Linked DNA regions of Xenopus tropicalis. Each later gene encodes a partner of the first gene's protein in a complex. Links are inferred from orthologs where the notes say so. Each region holds a gene or a part of one and is shown in the gene's direction. Other genes may lie near its edges.

The links. Proteins that work in one complex are often made in the same cells at the same time.
Region 2: the proteins of axin1 (region 1) and siah1 are in contact, whole or in part, in a crystal structure (PDB 5WZZ), measured with the Homo sapiens proteins. The link is inferred for Xenopus tropicalis from reciprocal best matches to the Homo sapiens genes AXIN1 and SIAH1. Residues at the interface, in NP_003493.1 of Homo sapiens: Pro378, Lys379, Glu380, Val381, Arg382, Val383, Glu384, Pro385, Gln386, Lys387; in NP_003022.3 of Homo sapiens: Cys130, Pro131, Ser154, Thr156, Leu158, Asp162, Ile163, Val164, Phe165, Leu166, Ala167, Thr168, Asp169, Val176, Asp177, Trp178, Val179, Met180, Asn272.
Region 3: the proteins of axin1 (region 1) and dvl2 are in contact, whole or in part, in a crystal structure (PDB 6JCK), measured with the Homo sapiens proteins. The link is inferred for Xenopus tropicalis from reciprocal best matches to the Homo sapiens genes AXIN1 and DVL2. Residues at the interface, in NP_003493.1 of Homo sapiens: Arg821, Tyr823, Lys825, Lys826, Glu830, Phe831, Val835, Val836, Phe837, Glu838, Glu839, Lys857, Glu859, Asp862; in NP_004413.1 of Homo sapiens: Lys15, Ile17, Tyr18, Glu23, Glu24, Thr25, Pro26, Tyr27, Leu28, Val29, Val46, Leu47, Gln48, Arg49, Pro50, Phe81, Arg84.

Annotation. Positions count from the first base shown.
Region 1 is NC_030685.2:15,097,920-15,108,560, reverse strand, and holds the start of axin1 (axin-1), read left to right. Parts: upstream 1-3,773; 5' UTR 3,774-4,064; intron 4,065-8,849; 5' UTR 8,850-8,940; coding exon 8,941-9,818; intron 9,819-10,641. UniProt on the Homo sapiens protein: Component of the beta-catenin destruction complex required for regulating CTNNB1 levels through phosphorylation and ubiquitination, and modulating Wnt-signaling.
Region 2 is NC_030680.2:74,031,988-74,042,552, forward strand, and holds the start of siah1 (E3 ubiquitin-protein ligase SIAH1), read left to right. Parts: upstream 1-4,390; 5' UTR 4,391-4,599; exon of another isoform or gene 4,600-4,740; intron 4,741-6,057; exon of another isoform or gene 6,058-6,092; intron 6,093-9,566; 5' UTR 9,567-9,635; intron 9,636-10,565. UniProt on the Homo sapiens protein: E3 ubiquitin-protein ligase that mediates ubiquitination and subsequent proteasomal degradation of target proteins.
Region 3 is NC_030679.2:153,297,979-153,308,611, reverse strand, and holds the start of dvl2 (segment polarity protein dishevelled homolog DVL-2), read left to right. Parts: upstream 1-4,458; 5' UTR 4,459-4,505; coding exon 4,506-4,666; intron 4,667-8,598; coding exon 8,599-8,668; intron 8,669-10,633. Other genes in the region: phf23 (PHD finger protein 23A), read right to left, coding at 3,711-3,747.

The DNA of each region.
Region 1 (10,641 bases):
AGGGAGGTATGCTGCTGTGAGGGGGCCTGATGGGGCCAAATAGGTCGAAATGGCTTTAGGCTGGTCCTGGTTTTATTTGAAACGTGACCACTGTAATCTAAAAGCTATGATATAAAGATAGCTAGGATTTCAGTCATAAAGTACAAAGAACCTGCTGTTTTACAGAGAAGGAAGACGACTTTAGAACAGGCCCAAATACTGGCTGATAAAAGCTACTGACCAGCCCCTCCAGATTGGTATGCGTATGGGGCCCACCCAGCAGCCTACTTGACCGATATCTGGCTGAACATTAGCCACATATCTACTGGTCAGATTTCAAAGTTCCACCAGCTTCAGTAAGTTGAGGTGGTCCTATCCCATGAGGTCTTTATGGGCCTGCAGTACAATCCGATCTGGACTTGGGGCTAAATAATCAGATAATTCCAATTAGAGGCCACATTGTGGGTAGCCTTTTACCAAACTTAAAAGAAAACAAAAGGGTTAATCATGGGGGGGCAGGGTGGCAATATGTTAGGAACCCTTCGTTTTAGGGGGTATCAATCCTTCAAAGCTTGTAGCTAAGATCTTTGATGGTTAGTACAATGTATACCCAATAGAAAAATGCCACATGCTTGCTTTGCTAAAAGACCTATGAATATTTTTACGCACAATACCTGTTTTTCTGCTAGTTGCTATGCCAACCTGTGTTCAAAGGCGTAGGTGAGCCCCTCTCTTAATCTACAGGATAAATGGCAGCCCTTATTAGCAGTTTTAATATGCATTCCAGGTGAGCTGTATATGAAAGAGCACCCAACAGGTGGCCTATTCTTTATAAAGGGGTCAGAGGCTGGGGGCATGGAAAGTGCAATAAGAATACAAGGTGTATCTGAAAGCTGTCAGTGGGATAGTGGGTTACCTTTTAAAGGCACAACGCCCCAATTAGTCATGGGTGCATTCACTTTCTATCCAGCAGGTGTGAGGCCAAATCTATGGCCAGGCCGTAGGTGTTTTTGCAACTGCCCAAACAGATTCAGGAGCCATGTATCTTTTAATGTGCCTGGGAAAGGTTGAGTGGAGTTGGAGTGGCTGAGCCATTTTGGCTTCATGGTCTGTTCAGTGCTCTTAATTAAATAAAAAATACTGTCCTAAGCTACTTTCCAATATACCCTCATTAGTTTTTTTTAAGTTAGGCGTGAATGGAATTGCTTTTAAAAGCAGAATCTGTCTGTTTATATTCTCTGTACTGCAGGTTGGGGTGCCTGAAATAATGTAGCACAAACCAGCTCTTTAACAGACCTGGAGACCTGGCTTCTGTTACACTGCGGCTCAGCGCAGCAATGGCGGACGCGCCTATAGACATACATGCTCCAGGGTGATTTCCTTGGTGCTACAGCAAATCGTATGCCTTCCCCCTGCCATACCGGCCAAATGCAGCGCTAGCGGGAAAACAAGCGAAGGGCCACACAGGCTGGGTGGCATTGATAGGACGCGTTACCGTAACCTTTGTTGCCTCACTATTCCCACCTTTCAGAGACCGCACCAATGGAAGGTGGGAAATTACCTAAATGAAAACCACAAGTCCCAGAACCTCCCTAGCAGCCACTGACTACCACAAAGTGTGATTGTTGCCTCAAAATTTCCACCATACAGGGGCCCCACCAATGGAAGGGTGGGGGAAACTACATACATTGAAGCCCCTAACTCCCAGGTCCTCCATGTCGGCCATTGCCTAGCAGAAACATACTGTGAGACACAAAGGGGCCGATTCACTAAGGTAAGAATCCGAATCACGAAATCCAATCATTTCTGAAGATCGGAAATGTCACGAAAATTATTTTCGTTTGAATATGAAAATTTCATACGTACAGTCCAAAAGTTCTGAAATTTTCATATCCCAACGATAGTAAACGGCGCAAAACCCTTTCTGACTTTGAAACTTCAGTGCATGATTTTGGAAGCCTCCCATAGGACTCAATGGCACTCTGCAGCTCCAACCCGACCCAATGAAAGTCTCCCATAGGGCTCAATGGCACTCTGCAGCTCCAACCCGGCCCAAGGAAAGTCTCCCATAGGGCTCAATGGCACTCTGCAGCTCCAACCTGGCCCAAGGAAAGTCTCCCATAGGGCTCAATGGCACTCTGCAGCTCCAACCTGGCCCAAGGAAAGTCTCCCATAGGGCTCAATGGCACTCTGCAGCTCCAACCCGACCCAAGGAAAGTCTCCCATAGGACTCAATGGCACTCTGCAGCTCCAACCCGGCCCAAGGAAAGTCTCCCATAGGGCTCAATGGCACTCTGCAGCTCCAACCCGACCCAAGGAAAGTCTCCCATAGGGCTCAATGGCACTCTGCAGCTCCAACCCGGCCCAAGGAAAGCCTCCCATAGGGCTCAATGGCACTCTGCAGCTCCAACCCGGCCAAGGAAAGTCTCCCATAAGGCTCAATGGCACTCTGCAGCTCCAACCCCGCCCAAGGAAAGTCACCCATAGGGCTCAATGGCACTCTGCAGCTCCAACCTGGCCCAAGGAAAGCCTCCCATAGGGCTCAATGGCACTCTGCAGCTCCAACCCGACCCAAGGAAAGTCTCCCATAGGGCTCAATGGCACTCTGCAGCTCCAACCTGGCCCAAGGAAAGTCTCCCATAGGGCTCAATGGCACTCTGCAGCTCCAACCTGGCCCAAGGACAGTCTCCCATAGGGCTCAATGGCACTCTGCAGCTCCAACCCGGCCCAAGGAAAGCCTCCCATAGGGCTCAATGGCACTCTGCAGCTCCAACCCGGCCCAAGGAAAGTCTCCCATAGGGCTCAATGGCACTCTGCAGCTCCAACCCGGCCCAAGGAAAGTCTCCCATAGGGCTCAATGGCACTCTGCAGCTCCAACCCGGCCCAAGGAAAGTCTCCCATAGGGCTCAATGGCACTCTGCAGCTCCAACCCGGCCCAAGGAAAGTCTCCCATAGGGCTCAATGGCACTCTGCAGCTCCAACCCGGCCCAAGGAAAGTCTCCCATAGGGCTCAATGGCACTCTTTCCTTGGGCCGGGTTGGAGCTGCAGAGTGCCATTGAGTCCTATGGGAGACTTTCCTTGGGCCGGGTTGGAGCTGCAGAGTGCCATTGAGCCCTATGGGAGACTTTCCTTGGGCCGGGTTGGAGCTGCAGAGTGCCATTGAGCCCTATGGGAGACTTTCCTTGGGCCGGGTTGGAGCTGCAGAGTGCCATTAAGCCCTATGGGAGGCTTCCAAAATCATGCACAGAAGGTTTCAAAGTTAGAAAGGTTTTCGCGCCATTTACGATCATTCGGACCGTACCACAATATTTACGTATGACCACGATACAAATTTTTCGCGTTTTTAACGCACATCATAAATTATCGGATTTAATACGAATTTTTTTCTATTGAAGTCCAGAATTCGGACTTCGATAGACGGGCCCCAAAGCGTGATTGTTACTTTAGTTGCCTCAATATTCCCACCAATAGAAGGCTGGGAGACATTACCTACATTAAAAACCACAACTCCCAGCCCCCCCCTGGCAGCCATTGGCTAGCTTTGGAATACTAGGACATACACTACAGGACCACAATTCACCCCATAACCAGAGTAGTTCTTGTGGGAGCTACAGCCCAAAAGCTTCCTCACCAACTCTTACCATCCCTCCTCAGAGAACCCTCCCACACTGGGGCCCTAGGGCCCATGGCTGCCCTACATATACTATTCCCACCTCACAGACACCCCATATTAGAGCCGGGGAGCGCATCCCTGAGGTAAAAAGCGGAGAGCTGCTTGGAGTCACATGACTGCGCGTACCAGCGGGGCGGGAAAAATCGCGAGAAGCTGCGGGGCCGCGCATGTGAGGCGCGGGCACGCCAATGCGCACTCCCGCGGGTGCCGTGCACGGTGTTTCTCTCACACACTCACTCACTGTGTATCGCACTGTCCGGGGCATGGCCGCATCCCGGCGCTCTGCGCTCTCCTGTTTCCCGAGTATCCCTGCGCGGTGGCGGCTCCAGCTGGAAGCTTGATGGGTGGCTGCGGAGCGGAGGGAGAGGGCCCGGAACGGCTGGGCACAAGAGCCGGCTCAGGGCTGCCTGGGTGAGGAGCAAGGCCACACGGCTCTCTGTCTGTCTGTGTGTGTGTGAGAGGAACGGGGGGAGGAAACTTTCCAGGAGAGGCGGACGGATCCAGTTTGTAGGCCAGGCCCCGGCTTTGCCAGTACCGCTGGGCCGCATCTTACTGGGAAGCCCCGTACCCTGGCCCGTCTATAGGCATGCATGGGAACCCTGTGGCCCTGTACGTGGCTGTGGTAATAGAGTCCATCACAGGTTGCTCTGCTGCCCTTATTCCCAACATTGGGGCTCTGAATGCTTTGCTTTTCTGCTAGAGCATGCTGGGAAATGTAGTCCCAGGGATGAACATCACCAGACACTGAATGACTACATCTCTGGGCTCAGAGGGGTTACTGGGAGTTTTAATTCAGCATCATCCACAGGGCTGTATGGGGGATATCTGTCAGCTTTACTGGGGCTTTACTACATCCTTACTATATCTGGGGGGGGGGGACTATTTTGCAGGGATCCCATCATTAATGGGGGGGAGACAACTTATCTACGTGATAAGCTGTTAGTGGGGTGATGGGAGTTGTTTCACTGGCAAATGCACTGTGGCTGCAAACGATGGAGAATCCACAGCAGTGCGGTATTAGGGTGAAGACACACGGAGCTACTAGTAGCAGCTACTTGTCACGGCTACTATTATAGACAATGCTGATCATTTACTGATAATTGTCTCTACGTGTGTTTTAGCAGAGGCAATTCTCTGTATTGTCTATGGCAGGGGATTTTCTAGAGTTTAGTAGCCATGAAAAAGTAGCTGCTACTAGTAGCTCAGTGTGTCTTCACCCTAAGGGTAAAGACACACGGAGCTACTAGTAGCAGCTACTTGTCACGGCTACAAAAATAGACAATGCTGATCATTTACTGATAATTGTCTCTACGTGTGTTTTAACAGAGGCAATTCTCAGTATTGTCAGGGTATTTTCTGGTGTTTTGCAGCCATGACAAGAAGCTGCTACTAAGTAGCTCCATGTGTCTTCACCCTTAGGGTGAAGACACAGAACTACTAGTAGCTGCCACTGCCATAGACAGTGGTTTTGAAGTTATGTGTAAATGTAATTGGTATGGAAAAACGCTGCCTGGATGTTTGTATTCTCTGCACTGCTGGCTCTGACTTCTGCATAGCGGGGTGATGGGAGTTGTTTCACTAGCAAATGCACTGTGGCTACAAACGCTGGAGAATCAGCAGCAGTGCAGTATTAGGGTGAAGACACACGGAGCTACTAGTAGCAGCTACTTGTCATGGCTACAAAAATAAACAATGCTGATCATTTACTGATAATTGTCTCTGCGTGTGTTTTAGCAGAGGCAATTCTTAGTATTGTCAGGGTGTTTTCTGGTGTTTTGCAGCCATGACAAGAAGCTGCTACTAAGTAGCTCCATGTGTCTTCACCCTTAGGTAGCTGCCACTGCCATAGACAATACTGAGAATTGTCTTCTAAAACACACATAGAGACAATTATCAGTAAATTATCAGCATTGTCTATTTTAGTTGCTGCTACTAGTAGCTCTGAGTGTCTTGACCATTAAATCGATCATGGTGGGAATTGTATTCTGTGGGTTGTCCGGCAGTTTCACCATGGGTGGGAATTGTAGTTCAGCAAGGTGTTTATTGACCATTGCTCACTGTGTTCCATCACCTACCTTGGGCTTCTCACCCTTAAGGAAACAGGGGGGCTGCTGTGGCAATACCCGCAGGGCCACAGGTTGCTCATTGCTGCTGTAGGGACTAAGCCAGTTTATGTGTGGGTTGGGGGTATGATTGGCTTTATAGTTTTCGTTACAACTGCAGTTTTATGTAAGAAATGCTAAGGTACCGTGGGAGTGTGGGGTATTGTCAGTTCATGCATTAGCACTTTCCATGGTGCCCAATATATATTGGGGGCAGAAGTTCTCCGCATTCTGTGCATGTCAGAATCTGAATGCCGTAGCCAGACGCCTTGGGGGTGTGGGGGACCCTGTTTCTTGTGTTCCTACCTGCCTACCTGATCCATCGGCACCCAGTGCTTGGTATATTACTGATATATACTGATCATTTGCAAATAATCCTGCAAGGCTGTGTGCCCACTCCTGACTTATTATATCTGCTTTTGGTCTGACCAAAGAAATCTATCCTCATTGTTGGGGGGGAAATGTCTATTTATAAAAAAAAAAAAAGTGAATATATGTGTAATGTGATGTGTGTAAAAAAGAAAATATATATGTATAGTATATATCAAATTGGAATTAGAACTCTCAGGACCAGCAACTTCTTTGTTATATAATATTTGTATTTTTGACACATTATACAGAAGTCTTATAGTTATCAAGGAGAGATAGATATTTAAAATATATTTTCGTTGTAACTGACATGTAACTGTAAGCAGTATATACATTCATAAATGTCATTGGTTTTGAAGTTATGTGTAAATGTAATTGGTATGGAAAAACGCTGCCTGGGTGTTTGTATTCTCTGCACTGCTGGCTCTGACTTCTGAATCAGTATAGCAGAAACTATCGAGAGCAGAACTAACTTGTTTCAGGAGTCGGAACCAGAGAAAAGGAATGCAGACACATGTAGCTGGCTAGAAAGAGGATTTTTACACTGTGTGTGTGGCGAGTTAGTCTATTATAGCCCCCACTGGAAACAGTAAAAGGGATTGCCGGGCAGAAGGTGATGTCGCCTAGTGGTGCTGAGGAGTAGAACGTGAGCAGTTGCATGTCTTGGGATGGGTAATATAGTATTTTAGTGTCCCTGGTTATTGCTTTATGCTGTTTATCTCTGCGGCACGGTTCAAAGTACCAATAGCTTTAATGGCCCTGGCAATAGCAGGTTCATTCATTCAGATACAGCCTATCTGGGTATGCCTCGAGCAGGGGGGGAATCCCAGGGAGCCTCTAAGTCTGATACACAAGAACATTTGGCGTCACACTCACGAACACACCTTGCGAGCAACCCTTGTCCTCTGCAGTATCCAGCTGTATTGTGCCTTGCTGGCTATGGGTAATTGTGGCTGGGCAGTTAGTGATGGCCGCTGCAATATCCAGCTGTATTGTGCCTTGCTGGCTATGGGTAATAGTGGCTGGGCAGTTAGTGATGGCCGCTGCAATATCCAGCTGTATTGTGCCTTGCTGGCTATGGGTAATTGTGGCTGGGCAGTCAATGATGGCCTCTGCAATATCCAGCTGTATTGTGCCTTGCTGGCTATGGGTAATTGTGGCTGGGCAGTCAATGATGGCCGCTGCAATATCCAGCTGTATTGTGCCTTGCTGGCTATGGGTAATTGTATCTGGGCAGTCAATGATGGCTGCTGCAATATCCAGCTGTATTGTGCCTTGCTGGCTATGGGTAATTGTGGCTGGGCAGTCAATGATGGCCGCTGCAATATCCAGCTGTATTGTGCCTTGCTGGCTATGGGTAATTGTATCTGGGCAGTCAATGATGGCTGCTGCAATATCCAGCTGTATTGTGCCTTGCTGGCTATGGGTAATTGTGGCTGGGCAGTTAACGATGCCCGCTATGCTTGCTATTATGTGCTATTGCTACAGCTGCTTTCTAGCTGGCACGCTTCCTCTGGTCTTCAAGCTCACTACACGTTCAGTCCCAACTGGGTGTGTGACTATATTATGAACAGTGGCTGCAAGTTGTTTTTGCATTCAAAAATTAGTGTCACTGCTGCAGTTGCCCAACGAGGACTGGCATTGTCACAGGTTTTCACTAAAGCTTCTATTGTGTTACTCAACTGCAATAAACCCAACTGCCGGTCTGTGATAGTCGTGTAAGATAAGTCCATTTCTGTTTGGCAATTGTCGCTTTCATTGCTGGCCCCAGACTATTTGCAGCTTAACCTTGGCAGCAGTGGCATCCCAGAGGATCACTTGCCAGCCACACACTTCAAATACGCACTTCCATAATTCATTCATGTTGGGCTCTTGACTAGGTAAATGGAAATGGCATTCTGTTTATCGCTTTTTGCTTTCTGGTTCTGACTCTTGAAACAATGTAACATATGTCGGTTATCCTCAGGGTCTTGTTAGTGAGCTGGCTTCTGCTGCATTTTTAGGAGACAGAACCAGCAGTGCAAAGACTCAGAACTGCCCCACAGATTCTGTTATTAACAAAAGTTACACTAAGGGTGAAGACACACGGGCTACTAGTATTTGCTACTTTTTCACAGCTACTAAACAACATAAAATACCCTGCCAATAGACAACTGAGAATTGCCTCTTCTAAGGGCAGTGGCAAATGGGGAGATTAGTTGCGCCGTGACAGATCTTCGTTACTGCGGGCGACTAATCTCCCCGCAATACCATCCCACTGGCAAGAACGTAAATTGCCAATGGGATGGCATACGTGATGATTCATTTTCCCGAAGTTGCCTCTCAAGAAAACTTTGGGCGACTTCAGGAAAACTAAGTGACGTGTATGCCATCCCACCGCCGATTTACATTCATGCCGGTAGGTTGGCATTGCGAGGAGATTAAGACACATGTAGAGACAGTTATCAGTAAATGATCAGCATTGTCTATTTTAGTAGCAGGGACAAGTAGCTGCTACTAGTAGCTCTGTGTGTCTTCACCCTGCAGATAACTCTAAAGCCACTAAATATGTGTCATGAATGTAATAGGAAAGTTGCTTAGAATTATATTTGTTTTTATTAGGTGTAAATACTGTTTTGGGTGGAGTTCCCCTTTAATGAAATGCAACAGTATAATGAGTAAGCGGAACTTAATTATCTTTTTCCTACTGACTTCTAAATGTTTCTTTGTTTTTTTTTCTTGGCAGGAGGCATACTTTTACCTGGGACCTTCTATTTACGATGTCCATATTCTGAATCAGTGTTTTATTCATCACTGTGTATACAAACGCCATCAAAATGAGTGTCAAAGGGAAAGGTTTCCCTTTGGACCTAGGGGGAAGCTTTACTGAAGATGCACCTAGGCCACCAGTTCCTGGCGAGGAAGGAGAACTGATTACAACAGATCAAAGACCCTTCAGCCACAGTTACTACTCTCTGAAAAACGATGGGATCAAAAACGAAACCTCAACAGCCACCCCTAGGAGACCAGACCTAGACTTGGGCTATGAGCCTGAAGGTAGTGCTTCCCCGACACCTCCGTACCTAAAATGGGCTGAGTCGTTGCACTCTCTTTTGGACGATCAGGATGGGATTAACTTGTTCAGGACTTTTTTGCAACAAGAGAACTGTGCGGACCTGCTGGACTTCTGGTTTGCATGCAGCGGCTTTCGGAAGCTGGAACCCAACGACTCAAAAGTGGAGAAGAGACTAAAACTGGCAAAAGCCATTTACAAAAAATACATTCTGGACAGCAACGGCATCGTGTCACGGCAGATCAAACCAGCGACCAAAAGCTTCATAAAAGATTGCGTTTTGAGGCAACAGATAGACCCAGCTATGTTTGACCAGGCCCAAACGGAAATCCAGTCCATGATGGAGGACAATACATATCCTGTGTTCCTTAAATCAGATACATATTTAGAATATACAACTATTGGTGGGGAAAGTCCTAAAAATTACAGTGATCAGAGCTCGGCATCTGGGACGGGGAAAGGGCCTTCTGGATATTTACCTACTCTAAATGAAGATGAGGAATGGAGGTGTGACCAAGGAGGGGAACTCGAAAGGGAGAGGGATTCTGTTCCCTCCAGCTTATTTACCCAGAAGCTTGTTTTAGACAGTTCGTCCCATTGTGTGGGGCCTAATAGAAGATTAAGTGACGGCAGAGAATTCAGGTATGTTTGTAAACTGTATGGAGGCACCAAGGTGTAGTTGCACAATGCACAATCCTGGCCACATAAGGGCCATTCATGGGATTGTGGAAATTGTTGCTTTCTGCATGTTCCTAGTCACATGATAACTGTGTTTGTGTTTGAAAGATATTTTATTCTAGCTACCAGCAGCATAGCAGCAATTTTTCTAAATATGAATGTGTGCAAATAATAAGCAATATAGCCTTAGTTGTAAAAAATAAGTATAGAAGGAGTCCTGTGCCCATATAAAGGCTTGAAGGTTTACTTTTTATGCTGATCATGGCTGTGCAGCCTGTTACGGTGACAGGTGGATTTCTTTCCAGAAACATTTGGGAGTTTTTGGGCCAAAATCAGAGAAAGGTGAATGATAAAGTGGAGAAGTGCCTGAACTTTATGTGCCATGAAATTTTCTTTCTGCATTTTGCAATTGGAGAGCTTTAGATGCTGTGTTTCTTAGGTTTTTTGGCACATTGACGTAAAGGCACAGAGCTCACCTTAGAATTAAGGTTTAGTGTGATGTTTATATTTATGCTTTTATATTCTTTGTGGTTAATGATTTATTTCAACTGCAGTTATGTACCAGGTCCAGTTTGGCTTCCGCTTTTATCTAGATGTGTGGGTCCTAATTAAAGGAGACATGTAGGATAAGCTAAAAAAGATTATTTTATAGGCAATTATGAATAATATATGGTACTGGTTTCACTTTGGTCAAAAAATTATTACTGTCTGTAAAAATGGCCCCTTTATTGGAGCGATAGATCCTCTCAGGTCTCTGTCTGTGTTTCAAATGAGGGGTGGGTGTGGC
Region 2 (10,565 bases), on another chromosome or scaffold:
ATTTTGAATCTCAGTCTGGACATGTTTCTTCCTTTGTACATGTAAATGGTGGTTAGTTGTAATTGTCTCATCTAGATTCTCTTGTTAATGTCAGTGCAGGAGATGACATGGCAGGAGATGAGAGATGCCAGGTGAAAATTCATTGCAGTAATAGGATCTTGAGTTTCACACCCCTTAAATATGTAATTTGTGTTAATTCAAACTAGATACAAATGATATATTTAAACAAAATGCAACAGTAAAAATAAACCTGGGCAAATAAAGACCAACAAAATCACAACACACACTGTACATGTTCCTATGCACTACACCTACATACAATTTTGCCATGACTATGCCATCCTTCCTATCAACGGGAGGTTCCCTTCAACAAGCTGCTACATGTTCTGTTTGTCTGCCAAGTTTCACCTCTGCCCTGAGATTTGTATGGTGTGTTTAACACACAGAACATGTGGAAACTTTTACTTGATGAACTATAATCATTTGTTCATTGATTCCTAATTTGCATCAGTATGTTTACGCTTAACACTTCAGGGCTCTTTTATAAAGGAAAGAGCCTTTTCCTTGTTTTGTGATTATTTATTTTACTTTGTTGATGGAACAGAATGGGGTTTGTTCATTCATAGTTGAATTCTATATATCTGTGCTTTTAGATGGCCCTTTATTATGCAGTAAAACTGTTTCCAGTTCCATAAGAATTGGGAAAAGAAAAACACCGTTACTGTATAACAGTCCAGGAATGTAAAAAACTGGATAGTTTTAGTAAAACAGAACAACCACAGTTTCAAATGCTACAGTATACAGAGCTTGCTTTATTTTTTAAGGCATTGCAATTAACCTGTTTAAGTTTTTTGAAGACTGGATGTTGTATGTAATAAAGCACTGTTGGACTGAGCTTCCTAAGGCCCACCAAAATAAGCTCAATATCTAGGGCCTGCCTAAGAAACATTAGATAAAATACACTAATCAGTATTGGTGCAACATGAAAATATGATGGAAAATGGTTCATGAGTAGAGAACCACATTTAAAAGGAGACAGAGAGAAGATGGAAAGGCATTTTGGCATTTTACTGCCTATAGGTTAGCCACATTAGTGCCACCTAGGACTCTATATATTTTCTGCAGAAAGCTTTACCATACCTGAGTAAAGAGCCCTAATAGCTCCTTCCGTTTAAGATAGTAACTGCCATTTTAGCTTGGTCTTTGTAGCTTCCTGCTGCAGCTCTAACTGTAGCTCAGATCACACATTCCTAAGGGAGGGGGGAGTGAGTTATTATGAATTATTATGGGAGGGGGAGCAGGAGAAGGGAGGGGGAGAGGGAGAGAGGCGAGAACTGCACAGGTTTGTGCCCCAAACCTAAAGGAGCCCTAACAGAGAGGAAATCTGATACTGAAGAACATGTTTACAAAAAAATGAGACAGGTAATCTGTGTTTCTTTTGATAGAGGACTCAGTGTAACTTTTCTGTGAGTGCTTATGGCTGTATTTACATAGACCTTTCTGATACAGCTTACTTAGTTTTTACCTTTTGTCCTTTAACTTTTCAACAGCTAAGTCTCTGGTCCCCGGGACCAGAAGCTCAGTAAGCAGAAGGGCTACCGCAACCCACTTCCATGCCTGCACCTTACCTAAAAGTTTTCTCAGCAGGCCCCCCTGTACTGGCTTGTACTACTTTTAGTACGCAGCCCCCCAGAGTGTGTCTGGGGGGCTGCATGGCCTAGTGCTGAAGCACTATTGCACTTAATGCAGGAGCAGTTCTGTGGGAGGGAAGCATACAGTGGATATTAAAAATCTACACACCCCTGATAAAATGTCAGGTTCCTGCGCTGTACAAAAATCATGGAAAGTTAAATCATTTCAGACCTTTTTCCACCTTTAATGTGACCTATAAACTGTACCACTCAATTGAAAAACAAACTGAAATCTTTTAGGTGGAGGGAAGAAAACCAAAAAAACTAAAATAATGTGGTTGCATAAGTGTGCACACCCTTAAACTAATACTTCGTTGAAGCACGTTTTGATTTTATTACAGCACTCAGTCTTTTTGGGTATGAGTCTATCAGCATGGCACATTTTGACTTTGCAAGATTTGCCCACTCTTCAAATCTGTCAGATTGCGAGCGCATCTCCTGTGCACAGCCCTCTTCAGATCACCCCACAGATTTTCAATCGGATTCAGGTCTGGGCTCTGGCTGGGCCATTCCAAAACTTTAATCTTCTTCCGGTGAAGCCATTCCCTTGTAAGAAAAGGCTTTCGTCTTGCCACTCTACCCCATAGCCCAGACATAAGAAGAATACAGGAGATTGTTGTCACATGTACCACACAGCCAGTACTTGCCAGTCCTGCAGCTCCTTTAATGTTACTGTAGGCCTCTTGGTAGCCTCCCTGACCATTTTGGAGGGACGTCCAGTTCTTGTTAATGTCACTGTTGTGCCATATTTTCTCCACTTGATGATGACTGTCTTCACTGTGTTCCATGGTATATCTAATGCCTTGGAAATTCTTTTGTACCCTTCTCCTGACTGATATCTTTTAACAATGAGATCCCTCTGATGCTTTGGAAGCTCTCTGTGGACCATGGCTTTTGCTGTGGGATGCGACTAAAAAAATGTCAGGAAAGACAAACTAGAGCAGCTGAACTTTATTTTGGGTTAATGAGAGGCACTTTAGATCATGGCAGGTGTATACTGACTCCTATTTAACATGATGTTGAATGTGATTGCTTAATTCTGAACACAGCTACATCCCCAGTTAGAAGAGGGTGTGCACACTTATATGCAACCACATTATTTAAGTTTTTTTGGTTTTCTTCCCTCCACCTAAAAAATTTCAGTTTGTTTTTCAATTGAGTGTTACAGTTTATAGGTCACATTAAAGGTGGAAAAAGTTCTGAAATGATTTATCTTTGTCTCATTTTTGTACAGTGCAGGAACCTGACATTTTACCAGGGGTGTGTAGACTTTTTATATCTACTGTATATAGTCATGGTACATTAATTTAATTTTCACTATGTTATATACTCAAAGTATATAGATATATGGTTATACCTTCAAACCAAAGGAAAGCTCCAACATAATAGCACTTTGTCAAATAGGCCAAATACAAAGGAAGCAGTAGCTATTAAATGGTATTCTCTTTTCTATCATAGGTTTAAAATCTTGCAATATATTACATGGGGATGCTCCACTGAAGTAAAATTGTTGCTGATTTTTGTATACACACTCCTCGTCTAGTTAGTTTTGAATCATATGAAATTTGGCAACAACGGGAACCAAATTTCCCAATTATCTTATATGTTTATGACATTATTGGGGTAAATTTCATTTTCCTTGTTTCTTCTATTGATTGTATCCATTCCCATTTCATTGGTGGAGGGTTTTTTCAATTTCCTAGGAACCAGTGTGCTTGCTGCTTGTAAATACTAATTTGTCTTGGACTATTCTTTTATTTACTCTAACAGAATAATGTTGATTCCATATTGTTGACATTATGAACACCTTTCTCCATCATGCCTCTGGCACTCAGAATACCATTTTTTTTAGACTGCTTAATATTTTTGGCACATGTGCATGTGAGACGTACAACGTGCTGGTGCGTTTTGTGCTCTTTTAACCCGGCACTTCTTCAGGCGACCTAAAAAACATTTTTTCCTAAAAGGATGTTATTTTTGCAATATATTATATGTATATCTATCTATATATATATATATAGAGAGAGAGAGAGAGAGAGAGAGAGAGATACACAAGACATACATTAAGACCATTGATTGCAAAAACATGGTCAGTGATGTCAACTCCATATTATAACTATGGGGCTTCCCTAGTGAGCAGGGCCTGAGGGCCAGTTAGGGCCCAACTGGGACAGATGTCTTTTTGCTCTTCTAATAATTCCTTGAGATCAGTTAGGGTGGGATTTTAAGTAGTCACTGGCTTACTGTCTTAGATATTACTGGAAACGTGGCTTTGATTAAGGCCCCGACCAAATGTTGCACCTTATTGAAATACCCTTAAAAATGTATTACACGATACTAATTCAGTCCCGTTTTTTTTTATTATTTTTGCGTTACGCTAAGAGTTAACTTAAAATAATGAATCGAAAGTCCCTTCAATGGTTCATTTGTTCCATAAAGCAGTAAGGTTGGCAGGCATCTGCTAACGACGACCGAGAGAGTATATAGATTCTTACAGCAGAACAAGCAAACAATTGCCATTTACCCGTGCAAATTGTTGGTAGGCGTGGTATACGCAAGAGGGCGTGGCTTTCTGCTCGACCATCTGAGGGCAGCCTAATCCGTGGCGGGAGCGCGCCGTGTTAGCGCGGGAGCAGTGACGCCACTCTTTGTGCCCGCGCACGCTCGCTCCCTCTGCAGTGTCTTTCTGTGGAAGTAGGGGGGGTGCGCGCACTCGGAGTACGGGGGACGGCGGCAGCTCCACAGAGATAAGGAGTGGGAAGCAGACCCGGTAAAGGAGCCGTCTTACCGGCGATAAAGGATTTTGTGACCTATCTTCCGGTATCCTGTGAGTGCGATAATTGGTGCGTCACAGTGGAAGCCGAACAGGAAGCGGCATAATAGCAAAGCGGATTCCCTCCTGGGGAAGGTGAGCGCGGCCCGTGTTCTATGAGATGGCAACACTGCATCGGGAGCCAGGATAGCTAAGCCACGGCCCTTCGGCTTTTGTCGTACCATGCAGATCGGGGATGCTGGGAGTTATGGTAGAGCTACATTTGGAGGGCCGCAGGTTGGACTCCGACGCTGTGTATAAATCCTGTCTCTCAGGCGCCCATGGGATAATGCACGGCAGGAGGAGGGGGTGGGGGAGCCCATATTGCTGTGTATGTGGGGGAAGGGTTAATGGATGTTTCCTACACGTGTGGCTATGACATATGTTTGCATACAGAGAAAGTGGCTGGCTGCTGCAGACCCCGACCTTTCTCTATTTGTTTTGTGGCTTTTTATGCAAATAATGTTGGCAAAAGGATTATATGGGTGTCTGCTTATAATGGTATGACATGGCAGCCCCATTGCTGTGGGTTTCTGCTCTTTCTTTCCTTCTGTCAAATACTCCCACATTGCATCATCAGCCCTGCTGCACTTGCACCTTATGGGTGTTCGGTGTTGAAGTGGCAATCTGGCAGCTCTGTCTGGCTAATGTAAATAATCAACACACCCTAACCGCATCATCAGCCATTTGTTAACCCCGGTCATTGTCCCTGCCTATGTAGCAGCCTGTATTGTTGCTTCTAGTGTTATTGTCTTGTTGCCAAACCAAGGCCTGTGGCCTAATCCCTCCTGTGTGTTTTCCCCTCCCCCTTTCCTGATCTGTGTCCTAATTCCCCCCCCCCCCCCCCAGAGAGAAATCACTCGCACTATAGCTGCCTTCCGTTCAATTGTACAAATCAAGGGGGTGCTGCTTCTTGTTGCAGACAATGCTTTTTTTGTGGATGTAGTGACATGTGATAGTTGCTGTGTTGTGAATCCTGGCATTTATGAATCCCCCCCCCCCCAGCTCTTGTACTACAATTCCCAACATTTGGCTGGAGTTGTACACCTATTTACATTATTTCCTTGTTGCTTATTATGGTTTAACAACTAGAGGAGGGGTTTAAGCGGACACCCTTAATTTCTTTCTCATAATTAATTATTTTTCATAAACACATGATTTCCAAAACATCCAATGAGAGTTGCATCCTGGGAATAGCACGGATTTAAGTGTAAGAGATGATGATGATGTACCTAATGCACAGTATCCTAGTACTCCTGCCCACATGTCGAAAACAGCGGTATTCATGTTGAGTTCTTGCGATGTAAAGGAATTTTTCTTTACAAACATTTCAGTTGTTGAGTGGTTATACCCTCTCTTTCGATAGCAAGAGTTATCAGTGCAGCCGCTAAGTGTGATGCATCCGGTCATAGCCTTGGAGTTGTTGTAACTGAGGAAGCACAAATGATTTCATTTATAGGTGATTGTTCTGTTTACTGTTTGTGATGCTGCTTAATTACTATAAATGATGCAACATTTGTGGCTTAATGAATTAATCCTCTGTTTTTAGATTGTCTGTTCAACAGCACTCGGATACATGCTTCATTAGGGTACGCACCTTTATTGTATATCTCTTCTTCCTTATGCAGCTCATTTTAAAGATTAAGTGATAAAGATGAGATGCAAAATGGTGCTGCTAACACATTTTTTTTTTTTAATGCTGTATTGAAAATATTTTTTGCTTTAGAGCTTAGAAGCTACAAAAAGCAATACATTTCTTAGAGCTGGTGGGTAGGAAGTTGTGTTGAGGTAAGGGATCTATTTTTTGGATACCCATTATTCTAAAAGCGTTGACATTACACAGTTTCCTCCTCAAGCAGACGGTTACTCACTTTTGATGGATTTGCCTTTCCTCTGCAATAAGACTATAACTGTTACTTGATTTTAAGCTAGCATAAATCCATGTTGGAAATCAATTCTATTAGTTATTTAATGTTTAAAGTGTTTTAAACATAAGGCCATGGTGCCTCATAGTGATAAAACACCCCTTAACCTGGAAAACTCCAGAACTATGAATAATCAATATTAATTCTCAAATGTATTTCTCTTCTGGTGCCCTTTTCCATTTTGTTTACAGTGAGTTTGTATTAACTATTTGCCTAGTGTTTTGTATAGGGATGCATGGAAATTAGCAATTTGGTATTCGTCCGAATCCCTTAATTCTTGGGTATGGATTCACCCAAACCTGGAAGTTCCCAAAGATGAAGTTGGAAACACCGGTGTGCACGCTTCGTGTACAAGGCAAATTTTCTCCACCAGATTAATTTTGGCCAGACTGCTAAAAGTAGCCAATTCAGTGCATTCCTAGTTTTACTTAAGATTATATATTGTTTTTGTTAATCTCTTAAAAGGAAGAAGGTTGTTTAATAAAGAGCTCCTTATATGTAAAGTTGGAAAGGGCTGGCCATGTTTTAGGCTGAGGGTACACAGAGTGTTTCCTCTCCTGCTCTTAGCCTGAGTTTTTTTTTTTTCTGGTTTCGCATTTTCAGATCAATTCTTACTCTGCTCTACTTTGTGTAGCTGGGCAGAGGCGGAAGCTGCACTTGTCAATGCAGTTTTACTGAGGTGCATAAGGGAGCGGATCCACTTCTGAAATAAACACAGTTTTAGGTAGAAATACTCAACGTGTGCCTGCACCTGAGCGTATTCAATGCTTTTTGGTGCAGGCACAAGGAAGGGCAAGCGTAGGGCAAGCGTAGGGCAAGCGTTTTTCGGCTTGCTGAGAATACGCAACGTGTGGCATTAGCCTTATGTGAACTGTTTATTATAGGGTAACATCAGCTGTTTACATTGCACACGCATGGGGCTTGGATAAAATGTTGGTACTGTATGCTTGTGTTCATGTGGGGCCCCAAAGTTTCTGATGGCAAGTCGCCGGCGGGATGGCAGACGCGGCGGGGCGATTCGCGCGAAATCGCTCCGCCGCATGTGCCATCCCGCCGGCGACTTACATGTTCGCCGGTGGGATGGCAGGGGTAGGCAACTCGGGGAGATTAGTCGCCCGCGAACAGGGAGTTAATCGCGGGCGACTAATCTCCCCCCGTGTGCCAGAGCCCTTAGCCCTACAGAGACCATTCTATCTTAAAAAAGCAAACTCCAGATTCCAAAGGGGGGATAGGGGGGTGGTAGCACAGCTTAAAACTACAAAATATATACACACACATATACCTTTTAAAAAAAAAAAAAAATGAACATATGTATGTATATAAGTGTATATTGATGCAGCCAATATCTGCCCTTTGTATGGGCACCTTGAAGGTGTAAATGATGTTGGAGGCATTGGCCACATTGTTTCTAGCAGGGACCCTAACCAGTAATAGTTCTGCCTGTGCTAGACAACAGCAGTGTGACTTATCTAGTATTGGCATTCAGGATCCTCATAGAAGCACTTACTTGTAACTGCAATTAAGTTTGTGATTCCCAGTTTATGCAGATATTAGACTGGTTTTATGTTAAGTTTAAATCCCCTTGAAGATAGAATTTTATGTTGTAAGGGGGTTTGCTTGGAATCTTATAAGCAGCCACCAGAAAGAGTAAAGACTATGGGTCACTAATGTCCACTCCATGTGCCATTGTTTGTCCAAGATAATCTGTTTTTTCATCCACAATCCCATTATTATATTATAGGATTACATGATAGCTTTTCACAGTTGCTGCTGGAGGGGTTTCCATGATGAGTGATGCTTTGAAAATAGTAAAAGTTTACCTTATTGCAACAGTCCCCAACCAATGGTTTGTGACATGTTGTCCCAGTGTCTTAAAAACAGGTGCCCATTTGTAATTTTTTAGCTTGGAGATAAGTTTGGAAGCACAGAGAGACATTTTTACTCCAATCAGAGCCTCCTGCTGTGGCAGCAGTGCACATGGAGCTATCAAGTAGCCAATCACAGCCCTTATTTTGCATCATCAAGGACCTTTTTTTTAATGCTTTTATGACTCGCCAACACTTTTACGTCTAAGCAAGTCTCACAAGTAAAAAAGTTTGGGGATCCCTGCCTTATTATATGTATGTTTATTATGTTTATGGCCCAGCTTTATAATTTACTGTATATCTTGATTGGTTTTATTTCTTTTTGTCTGTGCATCAGTTCAGATTTTGCCTTACCTTTATTAAGCAAATCGGTTGCGGGAGTGTGTAAAACAAAAAGCACTGGAACACTGTGTAAAACATAAATTTAAAAGAGAATGGGATGATTTGCAAATTGTTTATATCCTATATTCAATTGAAAATAGTACAGAAACAACATATTGTGTAGGAACTGATGCCCCTTCTGGTACCATTACATTTGAACTGTGCTCTGATAACAATGAGGATGGCCCTTAATTTCCGTGATGGCATCCATGATTTCCAAAAAGAATTTCAAATTCTTATTTATCAGAATGTCTTGCTGGATGGTACAGATGCATGGTAGAGTTTTTACTTGCATTTAGTATTTCAGGCCAGATATCGGTCGGGCAGGCCCGTCGTTAGTGCCTATACATGGGCCGATTAGCTGCCGAATCGGTCTAAGGGACCGATATTGACAGCTAGAATCGGCCCGTGTATGGGGACCTTAAGTGGCCCAGCCTCTCTGGGATCTGCTCTTTTTGGCCTTACACCCTGTCTTTTGTTGCCTCTGTCTCAATTTTCTTAAAAACATGTTAATGGCATTAAATTCAAAATGAGAATTTGCTTTTCAGCAACACTCCTTGGTTTCACGATATGTTGTCTTTGTACTACTTGCAATGCAATATAGGGTTTAAATGATATGCAACTCAACTTTTTGCAGTGTTCCAACTAAAAAAACTGTTTAATCCAATATGTTAGAATCCATGATAAAAATATTTGTGTACATTTTAAATTAGTATTATGTTTTATTGAGTTTTATTTGTTGATGTTGACTAAAATAATATAGTCATTGTAAAGCAATTATGTATTCTCTTGGTTTTTTTAAGCAGTATCCAATGTCAATTATATTTAGACCTGTTTACCCATAAAATATAACATTTTCCTTATGTGCCATTTTTTTCTCTTTTTGGTATAGTTTGTGGGTTGGATGTTGCCTTCAGGAAGAACGGAGTGCACAGGACAAGAAATCCAGTGTAAAATAGAGGTAGGGCGAATGAAACATGGAAAAAAATATGTGGAAAAAAAATGAGATAGATTTTAGAACAGTAATGCTTTTATGCTAGTGGCACGAATAACTTTCAAAAGCTTATAATATAAAGAAAATTTTAGTTTTAATGGATGCAGAGGTACTTTTTATATTATGGTGTTTCCACTTTCTTGGAATTGCTTTTGTCTAATTTACACTGTGTGTGTGTGTGTATATGTATGTATGCATATATACATGGAACATTGTAACAACACACAACATTGCAGTACCATCAGTGACATAATTTTTATTGGATATCAAAGTTGCTGCTCATTATGGTATAAAACATTTATATGCCCAGTTGCCATCAAGGGACAGCACATTTTAGGAGGAACAGCTATTTGAACTGGTGCTCATAACCACTACTTTTTTGTTTTGCTCTGTGCTCTTCCTGGTAATGGTAATGTTTTAGCAGTAACCTCAATAATTCACTATCATACACCAAGTTAATGCAGAGCACGCTTCCTGCTACCAGTACTACAAAGTGTGCAGCTGGTTTACTATGTTTATTGCATTGTTGGGTAATCACCAATATGTAATAATCTGCATAGCTCCTAGTATGGGTTTGAACAAAATGAGTAATCTCCACCCATGTAGATTAAATGGTACAAATGGAAACCCTTATTTTACAAGCAGTTTTTTACCATGTGCCTGGCCATAATTTGATAGTTTAATTTGTTGTAATGTGGTGCGGTTGTGTATAGGGTTGCCATCCCACGCGTTTTATTTTTAGGGATTCTGAAATAAAATTGTTAAAGGGCTTATATTGTTTGCTTTATTGTTACATAATACAGTGTAGAAATAGGAAATTTGTTGTTTGCCTTAGAGATATTGTATCTAGTTAAGGTTGCCATACCTGGGGAGATATAAGCTGCTGATTTGGGTCTT
Region 3 (10,633 bases), on another chromosome or scaffold:
GCCCCTTCCACACACACAGTATATACCCCACTAACTGCCCCTTCCACACACAGTATATACCCCACTAACTGCCCCCTTCCACACACAGTATATACCCCACTAACTGCCCCTTCCACACACAGTATATACCCCACTAACTGCCCCTTCCACACACAGTATATACCCCACTAACTGCCCCTTCCACACACAGTATATACCCCACTAACTGCCCCTTCCACACACAGTATATACCCCACTAACTGCCCCCTTCCACACACACACACAGTATATACCCCACTAACTGCCCCTTCCACACACAGTATATACCTCACTAACTGCCCCTTACACACACACAGTATATACCCCACTAACTGCCCCTTCCACACACACAGTATATACCCCACTAACTGCCCCTTCCACACACAGTATATACCCCACTAACTGCCCCCTTCCACACACAGTATATACCCCACTAACTGCCCCTTCCACACACAGTATATACCCCACTAACTGCCCCTTCCACACACAGTATATACCCCACTAACTGCCCCTTCCACACACAGTATATACCCCACTAACTGCCCCTTCCACACACAGTATATACCCCACTAACTGCCCCCTTCCACACACACACAGTATATACCCCACTAACTGCCCCTTCCACACACAGTATATACCCCACTAACTGCCCCTTACACACACACAGTATATACCCCACTAACTGCCCCTTCCACACACAGTATATACCTCACTAACTGCCCCTTACACACACACAGTATATACCCCACTAACTGCCCCTTCCACACACAGTATATACCCCACTAACTGCCCCTTCCACACACAGTATATACCCCACTAACTGCCCCTTCCACACACAGTATATACCCCACTAACTGCCCCTTCCACACACAGTATATACCCTACTAACTGCCCCCTTCCACACACAGTATATACCCCACTAACTGCCCCTTCCACACACACAGTATATACCCCACTAACTGCCCCCTTCCACACACAGTATATACCCCACTAACTGCCCCTTCCACACACAGTATATACCCCACCAACTGCCCCTTACACACACAGTATATACCCCACTAACTGCCCCTTCCACACACAGTATATACCCCACTAACTGCCCCTTCCACACACAGTATATACCCCACTAACTGCCCCCTTCCACACACAGTATATACCCCACTAACTGCCCCCTTCCACACACAGTATATACCTCACTAACTGCCCCTTCCACACACAGTATATACCCCACTAACTGCCCCTTCCACACACAGTATATACCCCACTAACTGCCCCTTCCACACACAGTATATACCCCACTAACTGCCCCCTTCCACACACACACAGTATATACCCCACTAACTGCCCCTTCCACACACAGTATATACCTCACTAACTGCCCCTTACACACACACAGTATATACCCCACTAACTGCCCCTTCCACACACACAGTATATACCCCACTAACTGCCCCTTCCACACACAGTATATACCCCACTAACTGCCCCCTTCCACACACAGTATATACCCCACTAACTGCCCCTTCCACACACAGTATATACCCCACTAACTGCCCCTTCCACACACAGTATATACCCCACTAACTGCCCCTTCCACACACAGTATATACCCCACTAACTGCCCCCTTCCACACACACACAGTATATACCCCACTAACTGCCCCTTCCACACACAGTATATACCTCACTAACTGCCCCTTACACACACACAGTATATACCCCACTAACTGCCCCTTCCACACACAGTATATACCCCACTAACTGCCCCTTCCACACACAGTATATACCCCACTAACTGCCCCTTCCACACACAGTATATACCCCACTAACTGCCCCTTCCACACACAGTATATACCCTACTAACTGCCCCCTTCCACACACAGTATATACCCCACTAACTGCCCCTTCCACACACACAGTATATACCCCACTAACTGCCCCCTTCCACACACAGTATATACCCCACTAACTGCCCCTTCCACACACAGTATATACCCCACCAACTGCCCCTTACACACACAGTATATACCCCACTAACTGCCCCTTCCACACACAGTATATACCCCACTAACTGCCCCTTCCACACACAGTATATACCCCACTAACTGCCCCCTTCCACACACAGTATATACCCCACTAACTGCCCCCTTCCACACACAGTATATACCCCACTAACTGCCCCCTTCCACACACAGTATATACCTCACTAACTGCCCCTTCCACACACAGTATATACCCCACTAACTGCCCCCTTACACACACAGTATATACCCTACTAACTGCCCCTTCCACACACACAGTATATACCCCACTAACTGCCCCCTTCCACACACAGTATATACCCCACTAACTGCCCCTTCCACACACAGTATATACCCCACTAACTGCCCCTTCCACACACAGTATATACCCCACTAACTGCCCCTTCCACACACAGTATATACCCCACTAACTGCCCCTTCCACACACACAGTATATACCCCACTAACTGCCCCTTCCACACACAGTATATACCCCACTAACTGCCCCTTCCACACACACAGTATATACCCCACTAACTGCCCCCTTCCACACACAGTATATACCCTACTAACTGCCCCTTCCACACACACAGTATATACCCCACTAACTGCCCCTTCCACACACAGTATATACCCCACTAACTGCCCCTTCCACACACAGTATATACCCCACTAACTGCCCCTTCCACACACACAGTATATACCCCACTAACTGCCCCTTCCACACACAGTATATACCTCACTAACTGCCCCTTCCACACACACAGTATATACCCCACTAACTGCCCCTTCCACACACAGTATATACCCCACTAACTGCCCCTTCCACACACAGTATATACCCCACTAACTGCCCCTTACACACAGTATATACCCCACTAACTGCCCCTTACACACAGTATATACCCCACTAACTGCCCCTTCCACACACAGTATATACCCCACTAACTGCCCCTTCCACACACAGTATATACCCCACTAACTGCCCCTTACACACACAGTATATACCCTACTAACTGCCCCCTTCCACACACAGTATATACCCTACTAACTGCCCCTTCCACACACAGTATATACCCCACTAACTGCCCCTTCCACACACACAGTATATACCCCACTAACTGCCCCTTCCACACACAGTATATACCCCACTAACTGCCCCTTCCACACACACAGTATATACCCCACTAACTGCCCCTTCCACACACAGTATATACCTCACTAACTGCCCCTTCCACACACAGTATATACCCCACTAACTGCCCCTTCCACACACAGTATATACCCCACTAACTGCCCCTTCCACACACAGTATATACCCCACTAACTGCCCCTTCCACACACACAGTATATACCCCACTAACTGCCCCTTCCACACACACAGTATATACCCCACTAACTGCCCCTTCCACACACAGTATATACCCCAATAATTGCCCCCCCACTACCTGTTATACCTTTTTAACTGCCCCGTCCATGTGTTATTTACCCCAAACCTTGGAAACTACCCCCCCCGGGGTAACTATCTCCCGTTGCCCCCCAAGCTTCTGCCCCAACATATTGAGCCCCAGTTTGATCCAAGTGCCCCATCCGCCCCTGGGAAGGGCAGTTTTGTCCCATTCTGCCCCAATTACCCCACCGGCCCGACCTACCCCTCCCCACACGACTCACCTTCAGGACTGGCCTCCCCCATGGTGGTTTCCAGCATCTCCGAGCCCTGATACCCCCTCCGGGGCAGAAACAGACTCCGTCACACGATCGTCTCCGGCCAGGGGATGGAACAGCTCCAACTGCCCCTCCTAGGGGCAAATGTTCAGGCCCTACTGCCCCCCTCACTAACAGAAGTACCCCCCCACCCCGGGGCTTATACCCTGCCACTTGGGCTGCTACCCCTCCCGAACCGCCTGCTCTCCCGTCGCAGGGAACACCAGAGATGTAGTTCAGCCGCCGGCGCAAAGCATTACGGTCCTTGTAGTTCAAGAACCATGGTCACTCCCCAACGAAAAAGCCAAGTTCTCCGAATAAGAACTACAACTCCCAGGAAACCTTGCGCAACTGAGCCCTCCCAGCAGCCCCCGCGCTTAGCTATTAATCAGCACAGAAAGGGAGGGGCGTGAAGCGCATGCGCATTAGGGACCGAGGCGTCGTGATGCATGCTGGGAAATGTAGTTTGCGTCCTCTACCCGCTGTTGGGCGTGACCAGCGCCGTAAGTTTTGTCCCGCCCTTGGCGCTAGCGGAAAGCGCTGTCTGTGGGAAGTGCGTGGTGCGACAACGTAACGGCAATTTGCAGAGTCTTGTGATTGGCCCCTGTGGGCCTGTCAGAGAGGCGTCTCCTAGTTAGTCCCGCCCCGCAAGTGCGTCATTCCGTCACACGCCGCTCTGGGGAGCTGCTGGGATTCGTGGGCGGTAGAGGCCGCAGCGGGTAGTACGGGAGGCCGGGGCTTGGGGTTGCGCTAGGCCGCAGGATGGCGGAGACTAAAGTCATTTACCATCTGGACGAGGAGGAGACCCCGTACCTGGTGAAGGTTCCGGTCCCGGCCAATGAGATCCGCCTGCGGGACTTCAAGGCTGCGCTGGGCCGGGGCCACGCCAAATATTTCTTCAAGGCCATGGACCAGGACTTCGGGTACGCCCCTCCCCTGTGGCCCCTGGGGGTCATGCCCCGCCCCTTCAGGCCTGCCCTCCTGCTGCTTCTTCTGCAGCCCTAATGTCTACCTGATAACTGCCCCACTAACTGCCCCTACTACTGATATTTACCCCTCAGCCCTAATGTCTGCCTGATAACTGCCCCACTAACTGCCCCTACTACTGATATTTACCCCTCAGCCCTAATGTCTGCCTGATAACTGCCCCCAGTAACTGCCCCCAGTAACTGCCCCCAGTAACTGCCCCCAGTAACTGCCCCCACTACTGATATTTACCCCTCAGCCCTAATGTCTGCCTGATAACTGCCCCACTAACTGCCCCTACTACTGATATTTACCCCTCAGCCCTAATGTCTGCCTGATAACTGCCCCCAGTAACTGCCCCCAGTAACTGCCCCCAGTAACTGCCCCCACTACTGATATTTACCCCTCAGCCCTAATGTCTGCCTGATAACTGCCCCACTAACTGCCCCTACTACTGATATTTACCCCTCAGCCCTAATGTCTGCCTGATAACTGCCCCACTAACTGCCCCCTGCTACTGTTATTTACCCCTCACCCCTAATGTCTGCCTGATAACTGCCCCACTAACTGCCCCTACTACTGATATTTACCCCTCAGCCCTAATGTCTGCCTGATAACTGCCCCACTAACTGCCCCACTAACTGCCCCTACTACTGATATTTACCCCTCAGCCCTAATGTCTGCCTGATAACTGCCCCACTAACTGCCCCTACTACTGATATTTACCCCTCAGCCCTAATGTCTGCCTGATAACTGCCCCACTAACTGCCCCTACTACTGATATTTACCCCTCAGCCCTAATGTCTGCCTGATAACTGCCCCACTAACTGCCCCCACTACTGATATTTACCCCCTCACCCCTAATGTCTGCCTGATAACTGCCCCACTAACTGCCCCCACTACTGATATTTACCCCTCAGCCCTAATGTCTGCCTGATAACTGCCCCAGTAACTGCCCCTACTACTGATATTTACCTCTCAGCCCTAATGTCTGCCTGATAACTGCCCCAGTAACTGCCCCCTGCTACTGTTATTTACCCCTCACCCCTAATGTCTGCCTGATAACTGCCCCAGTAACTGCCCCTACTACTGATATTTACCCCTCAGCCCTAATGTCTGCCTGATAACTGCCCCACTAACTGCCCCCACTACTGATATTTACCCCTCAGCCCTAATGTCTGCCCCACTAACTGCCCCTCTAACTGCCCCTACTACTGATATTTACCCCTCAGCCCTAATGTCTGCCCCACTAACTGCCCCTACTACTGATATTTACCCCTCACCCCTAATATCTGCCTGATAACTGCCCCAGTAACTGCCCCTACTACTGTTATTTACCCCTCAGCCCTAATGTCTGCCCCACTAACTGCCCCCACTACTGATAATTACCCCTCAGCCCTAATGTCTGCCTGATAATTGCCCCCACTAACTGCCCCACTAACTGCCCCTACAACTGATATTTACCCCTCACCCCTAATGTCTGCCTGATAACTGCCCCAGTAACTGCCCCCTGCTACTGTTATTTACCCCTCACCCCTAATGTCTGCCTGATAACTGCCCCCACTAACTGCCCCAGTAACTGCCCCTACTACTGATATTTACCCCTCACCCCTAATGTCTGCCTGATAACTGCCCCAGTAACTGCCCCCTGCTACTGATATTTACCCCTCAGCCCTAATGTCTGCCTGATAACTGCCCCACTAACTGCCCCCACTACTGTTATTTACCCCTCAGCCCTAATGTCTGCCTGATAACTGCCCCACTAACTGCCCCTACTACTGATATTTACCCCTCAGCCCTAATGTCTGCCTGATAACTGCCCCACTAACTGCCCCTACTACTGATATTTACCCCCTCACCCCTAATGTCTGCCTGATAACTGCCCCCAGTAACTGCCCCCAGTAACTGCCCCCAGTAACTGCCCCCAGTAACTGCCCCCAGTAACTGCCCCCAGTAACTGCCCCCAGTAACTGCCCCCAGTAACTGCCCCAGTAACTGCCCCCACTACTGTTATTTACCCCTCAGCCCTCAGCCCTAATGTCTGCCTGATAACTGCCCCACTAACTGCCCCTACTACTGATATTTACCCCCTCACCCCTAATGTCTGCCTGATAACTGCCCCAGTAACTGCCCCCAGTAACTGCCCCCAGTAACTGCCCCCAGTAACTGCCCCCAGTAACTGCCCCCAGTAACTGCCCCCAGTAACTGCCCCCACTACTGTTATTTACCCCTCAGCCCTAATGTCTGCCTGATAACTGCCCCACTAACTGCCCCTACTACTGATATTTACCCCTCAGCCCTAATGTCTGCCTGATAACTGCCCCAGTAACTGCCCACTGCCCCTACTACTGTTATGTACCCCCTCAGCCCTAATGTCTGCCTCATAACTGCCCCTACCAATGTTATGTACCCCCTCAGTCCTAATATCTGGTACAGCTTATTGTGTGCCCAGAACATTCCCTCTCTGTATATTTGTATTTATACATATGGGTAGGAGGTGCCATAGTGTTTCCCTTAGACAGTACAGTATGGGGGTACAGCTTATTGTGTGCCCAGAACATTCCCTCTCTGTATATTTGTATTTATACATATGGGTAGGGGGTGCCATAGTGTTTCCCTTAGACAGTACAGTATGGGGGCGGAGCTTATTGTGTGCCCAGAACATTCCCTCTCTGTATATTTGTATTTATACATATGGGTAGGAGGTGCCATAGTGTTTCCCTTAGACAGTACAGTATGGGGGTACAGCTTATTGTGTGCCCAGAACATTCCTTCTCTGTATATTTGTATTTATACATATGGGTAGGGGGTGCCATAGTGTTTCCCTTAGACAGTACAGTATGGGGGTACAGCTTATTGTGTGCCCAGAACATTCCTTCTCTGTATATTTGTATTTATACATATGGGTAGGGGGTGCCATAGTGTTTCCCTTAGACAGTACAGTATGGGGGTACAGCTTATTGTGTGCCCAGAACATTCCTTCTCTGTATATTTGTATTTATACATATGGGTAGGGGGTGCCATAGTGTTTCCCTTAGACAGTACAGTATGGGGGTACAGCTTATTGTGTGCCCAGAACATTCCTTCTCTGTATATTTGTATTTATACATATGGGTAGGGAGGTGCCATAGTGTTTCCCTTAGACAGTACAGTATGGGGGTACAGCTTATTGTGTGCCCAGAACATTCCTTCTCTGTATATTTGTATTTATACATATGGGTAGGGGGTGCCATAGTGTTTCCCTTAGACAGTACAGTATGGGGGCGGAGCTTATTGTGTGCCCAGAACATTCCCTCTCTGTATATTTGTATTTATACATATGGGTAGGGGGTGCCATAGTGTTTCCCTTAGACAGTACAGTATGGGGGCGGAGCTTATTGTGTGCCCAGAACATTCCCTCTCTGTATATTTGTATTTATACATATGGGTAGGAGGTGCCATAGTGTTTCCCTTAGACAGTACAGTATGGGGGTACAGCTTATTGTGTGCCCAGAACATTCCCTCTCTGTATATTTGTATTTATACATATGGGTAGGGGGTGCCATAGTGTTTCCCTTAGACAGTACAGTATGGGGGTACAGCTTATTGTGTGCCCAGAACATTCCTTCTCTGTATATTTGTATTTATACATATGGGTAGGGGGTGCCATAGTGTTTCCCTTAGACAGTACAGTATGGGGGTACAGCTTATTGTGTGCCCAGAACATTCCCTCTCTGTATATTTGTATTTATACATATGGGTAGGGGGTGCCATAGTGTTTCCCTTAGACAGTACAGTATGGGGGCGGAGCTTATTGTGTGCCCAGAACATTCCCTCTCTGTATATTTGTAGGAATAGGAGGTGCCTTATGACCCCTATGGGGGTAATTACCTCTCTAATCTCATTGCAGGGTAGTTAAGGAGGAGATATCGGATGACAATGCCAAGCTGCCCTGCTTTAATGGCCGTGTGGTGTCGTGGGTAAGTGCCCGGTACCCCCCCCCCCCCCCCTCTGTTCCTGGGTGAGGCCTTCTGGGAAATACCCCATAGCACTTCTTTTGCCTAAATGTCATTCTGATCCCCTTCCCTATATCCATTCCTCATTCTCTGCACTGCTGGTTCTGACTCCTGATACAACTCCCCAATACCCATTCATCCCTCATTCTCACTGGGTTTATAGTTATGTGTAACTGTCACTGTGTCTGTCCCTTTCCCTTCCCTGCACTGCTGGTTCTGACTCCTGATACAACTCCCCAATACCCATTCATCCCTCATTCTCACTGGGTTTATAGTTATGTGTAACTGTCACTGTCCCTTTCCCTTCCCTGCACTGCTGGTTCTGACTCCTGATACAACTCCCCAATATCCATTCATCCCTCATTCTCACTGGGTTTATAGTTATGTGTAACTGTCACTGTCCCTTTCCCTTCTCTGCACTGCTGGTTCTGACTCCTGATACAACTCCCCAATATCCATTCATCCCTCATTCTCACTGGGTTTATAGTTATGTGTAACTGTCACTGTCCCTTTCCCTTCCCTGCACTGCTGGTTCTGACTCCTGATACAACTCCCCAATATCCATTCATCCCTCATTCTCACTGGGTTTATAGTTATGTGTAACTGTCACTGTGTCTGTCCCTTTCCCTTCCCTGCACTGCTGGTTCTGACTCCTGATACAACTCCCCAATATCCATTCATTCCTCATTCTCACTGGGTTTATAGTTATGTGTAACTGTCACTGTGTCTGTCCCTTTCCCTTCCCTGCACTGCTGGTTCTGACTCCTGATACAACTCCCCAATATCCATTCATCCCTCATTCTCACTGGGTTTATAGTTATGTGTAACTGTGTCTGTCCCTTTCCCTTCCCTGCACTGCTGGTTCTGACTCCTGATACAACTCCCCAATATCCATTCATCCCTCATTCTCACTGGGTTTATAGTTATGTGTAACTGTCACTGTGTCTGTCCCTTTCCCTTCCCTGCACTGCTGGTTCTGACTCCTGATACAACTCCCCAATATCCATTCATCCCTCATTCTCACTGGGTTTATAGTTATGTGTAACTGTCACTGTCCCTTTCCCTTCCCTGCACTGCTGGTTCTGACTCCTGATACAACTCCCCAATATCCATTCATTCCTCATTCTCACTGGGTTTATAGTTATGTGTAACTGTCACTGTGTCTGTCCCTTTCCCTTCCCTGCACTGCTGGTTCTGACTCCTGATACAACTCCCCAATACCCATTCATCCCTCATTCTCACTGGGTTTATAGTTATGTGTAACTGTCACTGTGTCTGTCCCTTTCCCTTCCCTGCACTGCTGGTTCTGACTCCTGATACAACTCCCCAATACCCATTCATCCCTCATTCTCACTGGGTTTATAGTTATGTGTAACTGTCACTGTGTCTGTCCCTTTCCCTTCCCTGCACTGCTGGTTCTGACTCCTGATACAACTCCCCAATATCCATTCATCCCTCATTCTCACTGGGTTTATAGTTATGTGTAACTGTCACTGTGTCTGTCCCTTTCCCTTCCCTGCACTGCTGGTTCTGACTCCTGATACAACTCCCCAATATCCATTCATTCCTCATTCTCACTGGGTTTATAGTTATGTGTAACTGTCACTGTGTCTGTCCCTTTCCCTTCCCTGCACTGCTGGTTCTGACTCCTGATACAACTCCCCAATATCCATTCATCCCTCATTCTCACTGGGTTTATAGTTATGTGTAACTGTCACTGTGTCTGTCCCTTTCCCTTCCCTGCACTGCTGGTTCTGACTCCTGATACAACTCCCCAATATCCATTCATTCCTCATTCTCACTGGGTTTATAGTTATGTGCCGGTTGGGTGCCTGTGTGGCGCCGGTTGGGTGCCTGTGTGGCGCCGGTTGGGTGCCTGTGTGGCGCCGGTTGGGTGCCTGTGTGGCGCCGGTTGGGTGCCTGTGTGGC